Rattus norvegicus: one gene and its partner. The main gene of each other region encodes a partner of the protein of the gene in region 2 in a complex. Links are inferred from orthologs where the notes say so. Each region holds a gene or a part of one and is shown on either strand. Other genes may lie near its edges.

Region 1 (4,781 bases), on a different chromosome or scaffold from region 2:
TAATACTGGATGTAGCCTCTGGTTTTACCAGCTGCATACTCTAGAACTATCATATAAGTCAAAACCTCTCGTGATACTGGAAAGTGATTAGAATGTGCAAACTGATAGAGTAGCTTTCGTCCGCCTCTTACAGGGTACCACCACGGGAAAGTCCATTTAAGATGTTGGTAGGTTTAACAAAGTTGGAATGCTGGCACTGCTGAATTGGGCAACAGTTCTTCAGACCTGTGGAAGGGGAAAAAATAAACACATTAACAGAAACAGTACAATAAAGAATGAAAGGAAACACTAAGATAAAGGTTCTTTTTTTAATCTTTATATTTAATGACAGCAAAGACATTTTTGTATCTTTTTCCAAAAAAGATGGTAGTCCTAAAAGCCAGACCAATGAAAACTCTAGGCCAAAAAAAGAAGGGGAAAAACAGCTCTGCACAAGTCAGGTGTGGTGGCACCTGCCTTTAATCCCAGCTTTAGGGAGGCAGGGGCAGGAGGATCGGAGTTCAAGGCCAGTCTGGTCTACAGAGTAAGTTTCCAGGACAGTGAAACCCTGTCTTGAAAAAACCAAGTCAACCAAACAAAAAGCTCTGTGCAAATTTCTGTATTACTTTCCAAAGACTAAAAAGCCAAAGAACTTGGGAGCGAGAGACAGCACAATGGTAAAGAGCACTGGATGCCTTTCCCGGGACTCAGGCCCCATTCTCAGCACTTACAAGGCAGTTTACTACTGCCTTTAACTCCAAGTCCAGGGGGTCCAATACTCTCTTCTGGCCTCCCTGGACGTTGGGCCACGTGGTAATCATACATACATGCAGGCAAAATACTTACACACACACACATACACACACACACCCTCCCCCAGAAATAATCAATCTTAAAAAAAAAAAAGGAAAAAATTACATTAAAATTTATGGTCAAGTCATCTTACTAGAAGAATTAGGGCTAACAGACAATAGCAGTATTAACTGAAAAACAAACAAACAAACAAACAAAAAAACCTTCATTTCCTTTTTTTTTTTTTGGAGACAGTTTCTCTGTGGCTGTCCTGGAACTCAGATCTGCCTCCCTCTGCTCAGTGAGTGGGATTAGAGCTGTGCCCCACTGCTGCCATCACCACCACCAGGTCTCATTACCCGCTTGTATAATCTATAAAGTGTCTGCTTAGTCTCCCTTTGCTTCTCCTTGTTCTCCCTGCTGGGGATCCTTCCTCCAGCACTGCTGACTTGCACCTCAAAGCTCAACGCTTCCAACTCTGACAGACTTGCCCTAAGCTCTGATTTCACAGCAGCTGGTGCTCCTCAGAGCTCACGGCAGCACAGCAGTGAGCATGGACTCAGACGCTGGGCAACCTGTTGACATTCTGGCTCTGCCGGTGTCACCAACTGCAGGGCTCAGCACTGTTTACCATCCTGAGTAAGGAAAGCCTGACCGTCCCAACTGTAATCTGGGAATACTGAGAGCTCTTGCCTGGAAGGCTTGTTGCAGACGTCCTCCTGAGTGAGCAGAGACCACAAGCCCTAGTCGGCACACCGTGCACATCTTAAAACAGTTTGTCGATCTCTTCTATATGTCTCAATCATCTAAATGCAATTAAGAGGGACGAGAAGTTGGCTCTGATCAGCAGCTTCAGAGCCCCACCGGGATATAAGCATGCACTGAACAAACATAAGATATTCACTTATGCAAAGCACCTTCCTTCTGATGATAGGTAAATGAAATATAGAATGAGTTACTAGGATTACCACACCAAGTCATGATATCTACCTGTAAGGATTAACTTCACTCAGTGAGATGAACGTAATGTAACGTACCTGGCTCAGAGCTACAATGCATTCAGTACATTAAAGCAGCTGACATGATGACTTTTTGCGGGCCTTCCCAGGCACTGGGGTTTTTCTGTTAATTTGCCGCACTAGGTCATAAAAGATCTGCAAACACATTATTATTATTATTATTATTATTATTATTATTATTATTATTATTATTACCATCACTACTATTACTATTACTGTTTTAAAGAGGAAAAACAAACTCAAAACCCAAAACTCTTCAGAACACAAACTCTTTTACAGAATGAGTATAAAGCCAGGGCTCTTACAAGTACCAAGTTTTTTGTTTTAAGAAAATTAAAACTGTTTCCCTTCAAGTAAGTTCTTTAAAAGCCACAGAATTCTACTTAATTCAGTTAGATCTCCTACAAAAAAGGAAGTCCCTTACTGTCTCATACTGCTCTGTTCGCCTCTGTGCCTTTGCTCGACAGGGCTTCACCTACTTCAAGAACCATGCTATCTTTCTGAGGTTTGGCCTTTTACATAAACTCCCTCAAATACTCAATGAAATTATGGGTTTCTAAATTTGGCTTTCTGTCTAACTTTCCCTTTAAAATAATTTCACTTTATATGCATTACAAAGAAACTGAAATATTGTTACTCATTTATATGCATATGCTGGACAAGATTTTTTTTTGGCCTATAGGAGCACATATTAATTTGAAGTTCTTTGCAACACGCTTCTTTAATTAATTAATTAATTTTTGGAAACAGGGTTTTTCTGTATAGCCCTGGCTATCTTGGAACTTACATAGTAGATCAGACTGGTCTCCAACTCAGAGATCTAACCGCCTCTGCCTCCTGAGTGCTGGGATTAAAGGTGTGTGCCACCATCATGTGGCAAAAATTTATTATTTTTATTTATGTGTGTGTTTGTGTCATGAATTTATGTGCATGATGTACATGCAGGCTCCCAGAAGAATCAGAAGAGGGTGTTTGGATTCCCTGGAGTAAGGTTTCCAGATGGTTATGAGTCACCATGTCAGTCCTGGGAACTAACCCAAGGTTCTCATAACAGTGAGTCCCTCAATGATGAGCATAAAACGTTATTCTAGCACGCGTGCACGCACCTCGTTAACATTTATCTTGGACTTGGCGGAGGACTCTAAGAAAGCGCAGTTGCTCCACTGTCTTGCCAGGTTCTGACCTTGTTCCTTCCCGACAACTCTTTCGTCTTCCAGGTCGCATTTGTTACCAACCAGAATCATTGGGACCTGCGGAGACAGTCACGGGGTACACACAGTTACAGACAATAAAGACCAAGCTATACAGTGCTTACACAAGAGGGAAATGTTATACCACACAGACCCCATCGCAGGAATCAAAGTAACTTTTTAAACAGGAAGTACAAAGGGTGTCACCATGAAAAGCTGGCAGATTTCAACACTTCAAAATGTTTAAGGGTGTGAACCAACTTCACGTTTTTTGGTTTCTGACACACATTTAATGAATTGCACAATACAAAAAGGAGAAATTAAGAAGACTCCTAAAGTAGCAACTTCAGCTTCTCACGGTCCTAGATGTAGCCTCTCATTTCCATATGCTATGATGAAATAAATCAACTTAGTAAAAATAAAGGAAGAAAGAAAGAAAGAAAGAAAGAAAGAGAGAAAGAAAGAAATCAACCCTTATTAATGGCCTTGAGTTTGGACATATCTAATGTTCGTAATTTTAAAAGAGCAGTACAAGGAAAAGTGGTGCAAACCACTAATGGCCATTTAAAAAAATAAAAATAAATTTCTAAAAAATTCAAATAAGGAAAATAAGAATTTAAGCTTTTTTGGGGGGGTTGGGGATTTAGCTCAGTGGTAGAGTGCTTGCCTAGCAAGCGCAAGGCCCTGGGTTCAGTCCCCAGCTCCGGGGGCAAAAAAAAAGGATTTAAGCTTTTAGAAGAGATTAATTTTAAAAAATATATCTGATTAATGAAATTGTAGAAAATGACAGCATCTACCACTAAGATTCTTAGCTCTTTCAATATTAGTGTCAGTAAAGTATATGACTAGTCCTCCTCATGCCCCCAGGCTCACTATAAAGCTCTGGTGTCCTGGAACTTGCTACTTAAGCCTGAACTTGAAATCAAAGAGATTTGCTTGCTTCTGCCTCTTGTGTACATCCATACGTCCAGTACTACTATGGTCATTAAAGTGTAGTGCTCCCACCCAAACATCACCTACAAACTTGTCAGAAATGCAAAGTCTTAGGCCCTACACTAGCTTTACTGGGTCAAAAGTTATGTAGCAATTCCTACCGTAATTCTGATACAAGATCAAAGAATCTTAAGAATCAATGCCACAGGTAATAGGGAATTAAAGCCATCTTTCTGAAATGTATAGATTTCAGACTCTATTATGCTTCATTCTGCAGGGACCCCTAAATCAATGTTTTAGAGTTGAACATATTGGCTCTTTTCCTTTAACATTATGTTCCTTTTTCAATAGAGACATAATATAGACATATGGTCAGAGATAAATGTGGCTAGATATTCCTTTAAAAGGCTGTGTCCATCGACCCAGCACTCGGGAGAAGGCAGGAGGCCTGCTCCAAGTTCAAGGCCAGCCTGGACTATAGGGAGAGTCCGTTAAGTCTACCGTGAATGTAGCCACACACAGCCTGCTCTATTAATATCTCTCTCCCACATCCTTGCTGCATCTCCACAAATGCATGGTCTAAAAATAGGCAATACAAAGCTAGGAGGTAGTAGTTCTAGTATCCGGAGATCAGACAGGATATCTCGCCTGAGCAACAAACACTTAGACTATTTAAAAAAAAATAGGAAAAAAAAAGGCAAGTTGGATGTTGGTCATAGACACCTTTAATCCCAGCGCTTGGAGGACTGAGGCAGGCAAATCTCTCAATTCAAGGCCAGTCTGGTCTACAGAGTGAGTTCTAGGATAGCCAGGGCTACACCAAGAAACTCTTGTCTCAAAAAACCAATTAAGCTGAGTGAATATTTAA
Region 2 (5,327 bases):
CCCCCCCTCTCTCCCCACTCCTTTCCCCTCTCTCTCTCTCTCCACATGCTCATGGCCAGCCTCTACTCCTCTGCTCTCTCTGCCTTTCTCTGTCCCTGCTACCCTGTCAACCCCATACCCTAAATATACTCTATTCTATATTATACCGTCGTGTGGCTGGTCCCTCAGGGGGAAGGGATGCCTCGGCACACATCCACCAAAACATATACCCCTTCTCTTTATCTTTTTATAAACACATCATGGAGCACCTGCTTAGCTGGTGCAAGGATTTGGGTTCAATCCTCAAAACTACAGACATGAAAATATATCCGGGCTTCACTGCCTCCATAAACAAGAGGTCAGGTGGTTTCCATGTGAACCTTTATAAGTGGATTAGCCTATTTCTCCAATCGAGAAAGCTGCCATTCCCAGAACAAGTATCTAGGTACCAAACAAAGATTTCCCTGACCCAGGACACAGACTTTCCTTCAAGAAACGGATGTTTGCTAGGGCTGTCCTTTTGACAATGGACTGGCCTTTGACCAAGATCATGTTTTCTTCCAACTCTGAATGGAAGGAAACATTCACTATACCCCTCAAATGGGATCTTTGTATCTGCCCTCCACCTCAGCTCCCACCGTGCTGTTTCCTACTTGGGAACCCTGTGGGAGCTGCCATTATACTGGAGAGGGGCCTCAACCCAAGGCGTTCCTGGCGTTGTGTTTCTTCTGGTGTGGCTCTATGAGTAGGGGAGATGGTGCTAACCTGAGCATCCTGGTAGCCCTGGAGCAGAAGGAAGTAAGGACGGTTGCTGGGTGCCTGAATGAGGCACTGAGTCAACTGGTCAAAGTCTCCAGGGTCCGTTGGCACCATCTGAGCATCAGCCGCCCCTGGGGCCATGCTAAGTGCCTGCTGCCTGCGTTCCTGCTGCCTCCGCCTCCGCCCCTGTAGACTCAGCTCAGACACACTTCGACGCAGCGACAGATTTTCAGATCGCTCCTTGCCCCCGGACCCAGTGGGGGTCCCGGATCCTGATCCTGGACCAGGACTGGCCAAAGCTGCCCCGCCAGATGCTGCCCGAGACCTATTCTTCTGGGTCCGCCAAGATGGGGCGTTTGTGCCTGTGGAGAAATAAAGGCTCTTAACTCTGGACATTGTTTTGCCCGACTCCAACTTGGAGTTGTCAGTTTAGAAATTCATTCTTTCAACATGCAGGGTTTTTTTTTTTTTTGTGCATTTAAACTTAAAAAACATTTAAACATTTTTTAAAATTTTATGTGCATTGGTGTTTAGCCTGAATGTGTGTCTATGGGAAGATGTCAGATCCCCTGGAACTGGAGTTAAGGACGGTTGTGAGCTGTCATGTTGGTGCTAAGAACTAAACCGGGGTCCTCTGAAAGAGTAGGCCAATGCTCTAATCGGCTGGACCAACTCTTTCCCCCTCCCTATTCTTTATTAAGCCTGTGCTACGCCCTTTATATACGTTATTCCATTGAACCTTCACCTAGTTCGTTGAGATTCAAACTGAAAGAATGTTGTAGGCGTGGTGGTGCACCTATAATTACAGCACTTGAGAGGCTCGGGTAAGAAAATCAAGGGTTCAAGGGCTACACGGCAGAACCCTGTCTTGGTTAAAATAAAATAAACTATACCCCAAAGGTAAAGTAATAAGAGATATATCATGTAGGGTATACTCCTTAACCATGCTATTGCCCTTATCAGACCCCGTCTGTAAGTCCCGCCCCACAGTAGCACCACCAGTTTTGTCCTGCTGGCTCCACCTCCCCTGTGTACACCTCACTCCAGCACGTCCAGTCCAATCTTCCTACTCTGTGCCCGTCCCTCCCCTAGCCCCCGCCAACAGCACCTCCTAGAACCCGAGCACCTTTCACCCAGGTCCCTGCCTTTTATACTGCAGGCCCCGCCTCTTCTCTGTAAGCCACGCCCCCAGCACCTCCTGTCCAAGACTCAGTCATCCCACTGTCCCCTAGGTCCCGCCCCAAGTCTCTATGCCCTTCCCCGGCTGACCGTCTGCATCCGCAGCACCGAAGGCCTCCTGCTCCAGCCGACGGGCCTCCTCGCGGCCGCGCAGCTCAAAGCGCCGCGCCCAGCCCGGCCGCGCGCGCCACAGGTCCTGCACCAGCAGGGGGCGCTCGGCGTCGGCCAGCACCCGCAGGTGCTCCGCGCGCCACTCGCCACCGCCCACGCCAGCGGCGGGTCGGCCCAGAGCGTCGCAAAGCGCGTAGGCGTCCACGCAGCCGCTGTCGCCCGCTCCGCGGCCGCCCGTCAACCCGTAGCGCTCCAGCGCCTCCGCCACCAGCTCGCGCGCGGTAGATCGCTCCGTAGCCAGCACGCTCTTGTAGTTGGCGCCCGACGCCAGCCCGGCCGCGAAGATCTTGAGCACTCCCGGGGGCACCGCGGCGCGCGTGGGCAACGGGGGCTCCGGAGCAACACCCGCCGCCAGTTCAGGCAGCTTCTTCTCGCTGGCCCAGCGCTGCGCGCCCCCGGGCGTGCCAGGACCCCCGGCGCCGCCGGCCCCCGAGCCCCGAAACAGCTGCGAGATGCGCTTGGCTCGGCTGCCCGAGGCGCCCCCCGCCGCCTTCACCGCACCAACGCGCCGCAGCTCCACGTGCGGCGGCGGCGGTGGCGGCAGGGGCTCGCTGCTGCGGCTCCCCGTGTCGGAGGACGAGGACCTGAGGAGGAAGTGGGCAGAGAGGACGCAGAAGAGAGAATCAGAGACAGAGACACACACTGAGAGACAGACACACACACACAGGGAGACACCCAGAGAAAAAGTGACCCCGAGAGATGTGCCGAAGACACAGAAAAACCGGGAGAGGGAGAGGGACAGAAACTCAAAGAGTCAGGGACAAAGAACCAAAGAGAGGGACACAGACAGGGGTGGGGGCAGAAAACCAAGATGGTGGTGTGAGGTGGGAAGAATGGAGGTAAGATAAGTAATATAATAAAGATAGAACCCTTGGTAAGAAATAAAGTGAACAGAGAGATATCTACTGTGTTCCATCCCAGTGCCCATCCAGCCTGATGCACTCCTCTGTGCCTCATTGTCACCTTGTTCCACTGCCACCCCCCCACCCCCACCCCCCGTCACTTGTCTATTTAGGACAGAAATCACTGCCCACTTTTGTAGGGTCCCTGGCATGGCTCAGAGATAAATAGGGACAGATGCAGGCACACCATAGAGGTTGGTCACTTACTTGACAGAGGCAGCGCTAGGCCAGCGCCGCCCCAGTTTGGCGAGCTGTTTCCTTGGGGAATTGATCCACAGGCCCACAGGGAGATGGAGCTTCCCAAAGCGGGGGCTTCCGCCCTCCTTTCGTTCACCAGATAGCATGGCCCTAAGGAAAGAGGGTAAGGCCCCAAGCCCTAAGGCCACAGTGGGTGGGGTGGGGTGGGAAGCTACGGAAGAGAGATTCAGTTCTGGTTCCTGAATCCCAGGGAGTTAGAGGGGCAAAGCAATGAACTCCTAGGTCCCAGGATGGGTGAGTCATTGCTGTGGCTCTTACCCTGCTTCGGGTCCTGTAGCACCCGGAGGCCCTGGTGCCGTTGGCCTCCGTTAAGTCCCAATCCCTCTGTAAAGTGTTTTCCTCTGCCCAAGCTCCCAGCACTGGGTGGAGGACAGGAAAAGGCAAGAGGAAACCCGGCAGGAAGAGCGGGGAGGGGGCGTCCTGTGAGGAGACCAGGCCTGGGGGAGGAGATGAGGCAGGGCTGGCCTGTGCTTTGATTCTGGGCCCACCACTCATGGCCTACAAAGGGAGGCTCCATGTTCCAGCTACAGCCCCCTCAGTTGGGGTTTCGGGAGGTGCATCCAGAAGTCAGGACCAGGCCTTGAGAGTAAGTCAAATACTGAGACAACACATCAAATCTTTATTAGTTATCTGCTTCCTCAACCTTATCCGAAGAGTCAGTGTGAAACTCTGCCTGAGAGAGCTTCCTCGATCCCATCTTTTGGGGTGATTCCGCCTCTGACTTGAATTCTGCCGCAGAGGTTTTGTTTTCCACATTTGAGTTCTTCGATTTAACTCTGGTTTTTCTAAAGTGAAGTACCCTGGGGCAGACATAGGTGCACAGAACCACATGAGGTCATGGGTTGAGTGAAGTACACACTTCCCTAAACCCCCACAAGCCTAACTTCACAGTTTATTAAGCCTTGTCTTCCTAAGTGAGCCCCAAAGGAAGGTGCCCAGTAGCTTCCTGTCCTGTGCCAGCACTAGATTGTAGGAAGCCCCTCCCTCCACCCAAGCCCAGCCCCCTCCAAATCACTCCCTCCACCAGGCCCTGCCCTTTCACTGAAGCCTCGTCTGTCTGTCCATCTATCCATCCAAGCCCTTGTCTGCATCCTTCTATTAAATCTCTCCGTATCCAAAACTACACTCTCCATCAAGCCCCTTCCTGCCATCAAGCACCTCCCCTCCACCAAGCCCCTCCCCTCCATCAAGCCTGCCTCTGTCCTCACACCAGGCTCTTACCCAGGCCTCCAACCCCTCTATCAAGCCATGCTCCTTTCAAAAGCCCATCTCGTTGTCCATGCCTTTGCCCCACTGCACCCACGCTTCTTCCCTCCCTCCGTGTAAGCCCACTTTATCTAAGGCCCACCCTCCCTCCAAATTTCCCACTGAACAGCTCACGAGGCAATGACGCTGGCCACAAGAACCACGAAGCCAAGGATCAACAGTATTAAGAGGCGGCTTTTCAATTTTTTTTCTGGACGATGGGTAACTGTAGGTATGGGCTCTGGCTCCGGCTCTGGCTCCAGCGTCGGTACAATCACCTGGACAGGGGTCTCTTCCTCCTCCTGGGTTACGATGTTCGGCGGTGGTTTTTCCTCTACAGACCTTGGGGGCAATACTGACAGAGGAAAGCCAGAGGGTAGTCCTGGCAGCGGCCGGAAACAGCAACCCCAAAATCCTCTCTAGAGCGTGGGTACCGCAGTAAGTCCAACTGAGGCCTAAGGCAACCTGGTTAGGCAGGAACCCATACCTCCACGACCGGGAAACAGACCTTCTAAGAGAAGCCACACCCCTCAGCACAGACCCTGGTTATATAGCCAACAACAAGGCCATGCCCAAAGTAAATCAGGTCCCACAGATGAGGCCACACCTCCAGAGCTTCTCCCATCCTGAATGTCTCTTTTCCAACCCCCAGACTGACCTGTGACATGGTAGTAGATGATGGTGGCGGGACCAGCGTTGACGGTGTCCAGCTCACAGCGGTAGTTGCCAGCATCCTCTGGACCCACCATCGTCTTGGTCAGGTAAGGTTCTTTTCCCTTGGACATCAAGGTCTCAGAACTGTTCCCCCAAACCTAGACCCAAGCTCAAGGGGTC

What was found. Proteins that work in one complex are often made in the same cells at the same time.
Region 1: the proteins of Rasip1 (region 2) and Rap1b are in contact, whole or in part, in a crystal structure (PDB 5KHO), measured with the Homo sapiens proteins. The link is inferred for Rattus norvegicus from reciprocal best matches to the Homo sapiens genes RASIP1 and RAP1B. Residues at the interface, in NP_060275.2 of Homo sapiens: Val147, Lys149, Ala156, Ser157, Gly158, Ala159, Asn160, Tyr161, Lys162, Ser163, Val164, Leu165, Glu181, Arg182; in NP_001010942.1 of Homo sapiens: Val24, Gln25, Asp33, Pro34, Thr35, Ile36, Glu37, Asp38, Ser39, Tyr40, Arg41, Glu54, Leu56, Phe64.

What each region holds. Positions count from the first base shown.
Region 1 is NC_086025.1:55,310,608-55,315,388, forward strand, and holds part of Rap1b (ras-related protein Rap-1b precursor), read right to left. Parts: intron 3,041-4,781; coding exon 2,897-3,040; intron 1,926-2,896; coding exon 1,839-1,925; 3' UTR 1,809-1,838; intron 1,578-1,808; exon of another isoform or gene 1,465-1,577; intron 226-1,464; 3' UTR 1-225. UniProt on the Homo sapiens protein: GTP-binding protein that possesses intrinsic GTPase activity. Contributes to the polarizing activity of KRIT1 and CDH5 in the establishment and maintenance of correct endothelial cell polarity and vascular lumen.
Region 2 is NC_086019.1:105,231,875-105,237,201, reverse strand, and holds the start of Rasip1 (ras-interacting protein 1), read right to left. Parts: upstream 3,604-5,327; 5' UTR 3,507-3,603; intron 3,339-3,506; 5' UTR 3,335-3,338; coding exon 3,198-3,334; intron 2,673-3,197; coding exon 2,008-2,672; intron 1,101-2,007; coding exon 745-1,100; intron 1-744. Other genes in the region: Izumo1 (izumo sperm-egg fusion protein 1 precursor), read right to left, coding at 3,871-4,048, 4,629-4,848, 5,152-5,305. UniProt on the Homo sapiens protein: Required for the proper formation of vascular structures that develop via both vasculogenesis and angiogenesis.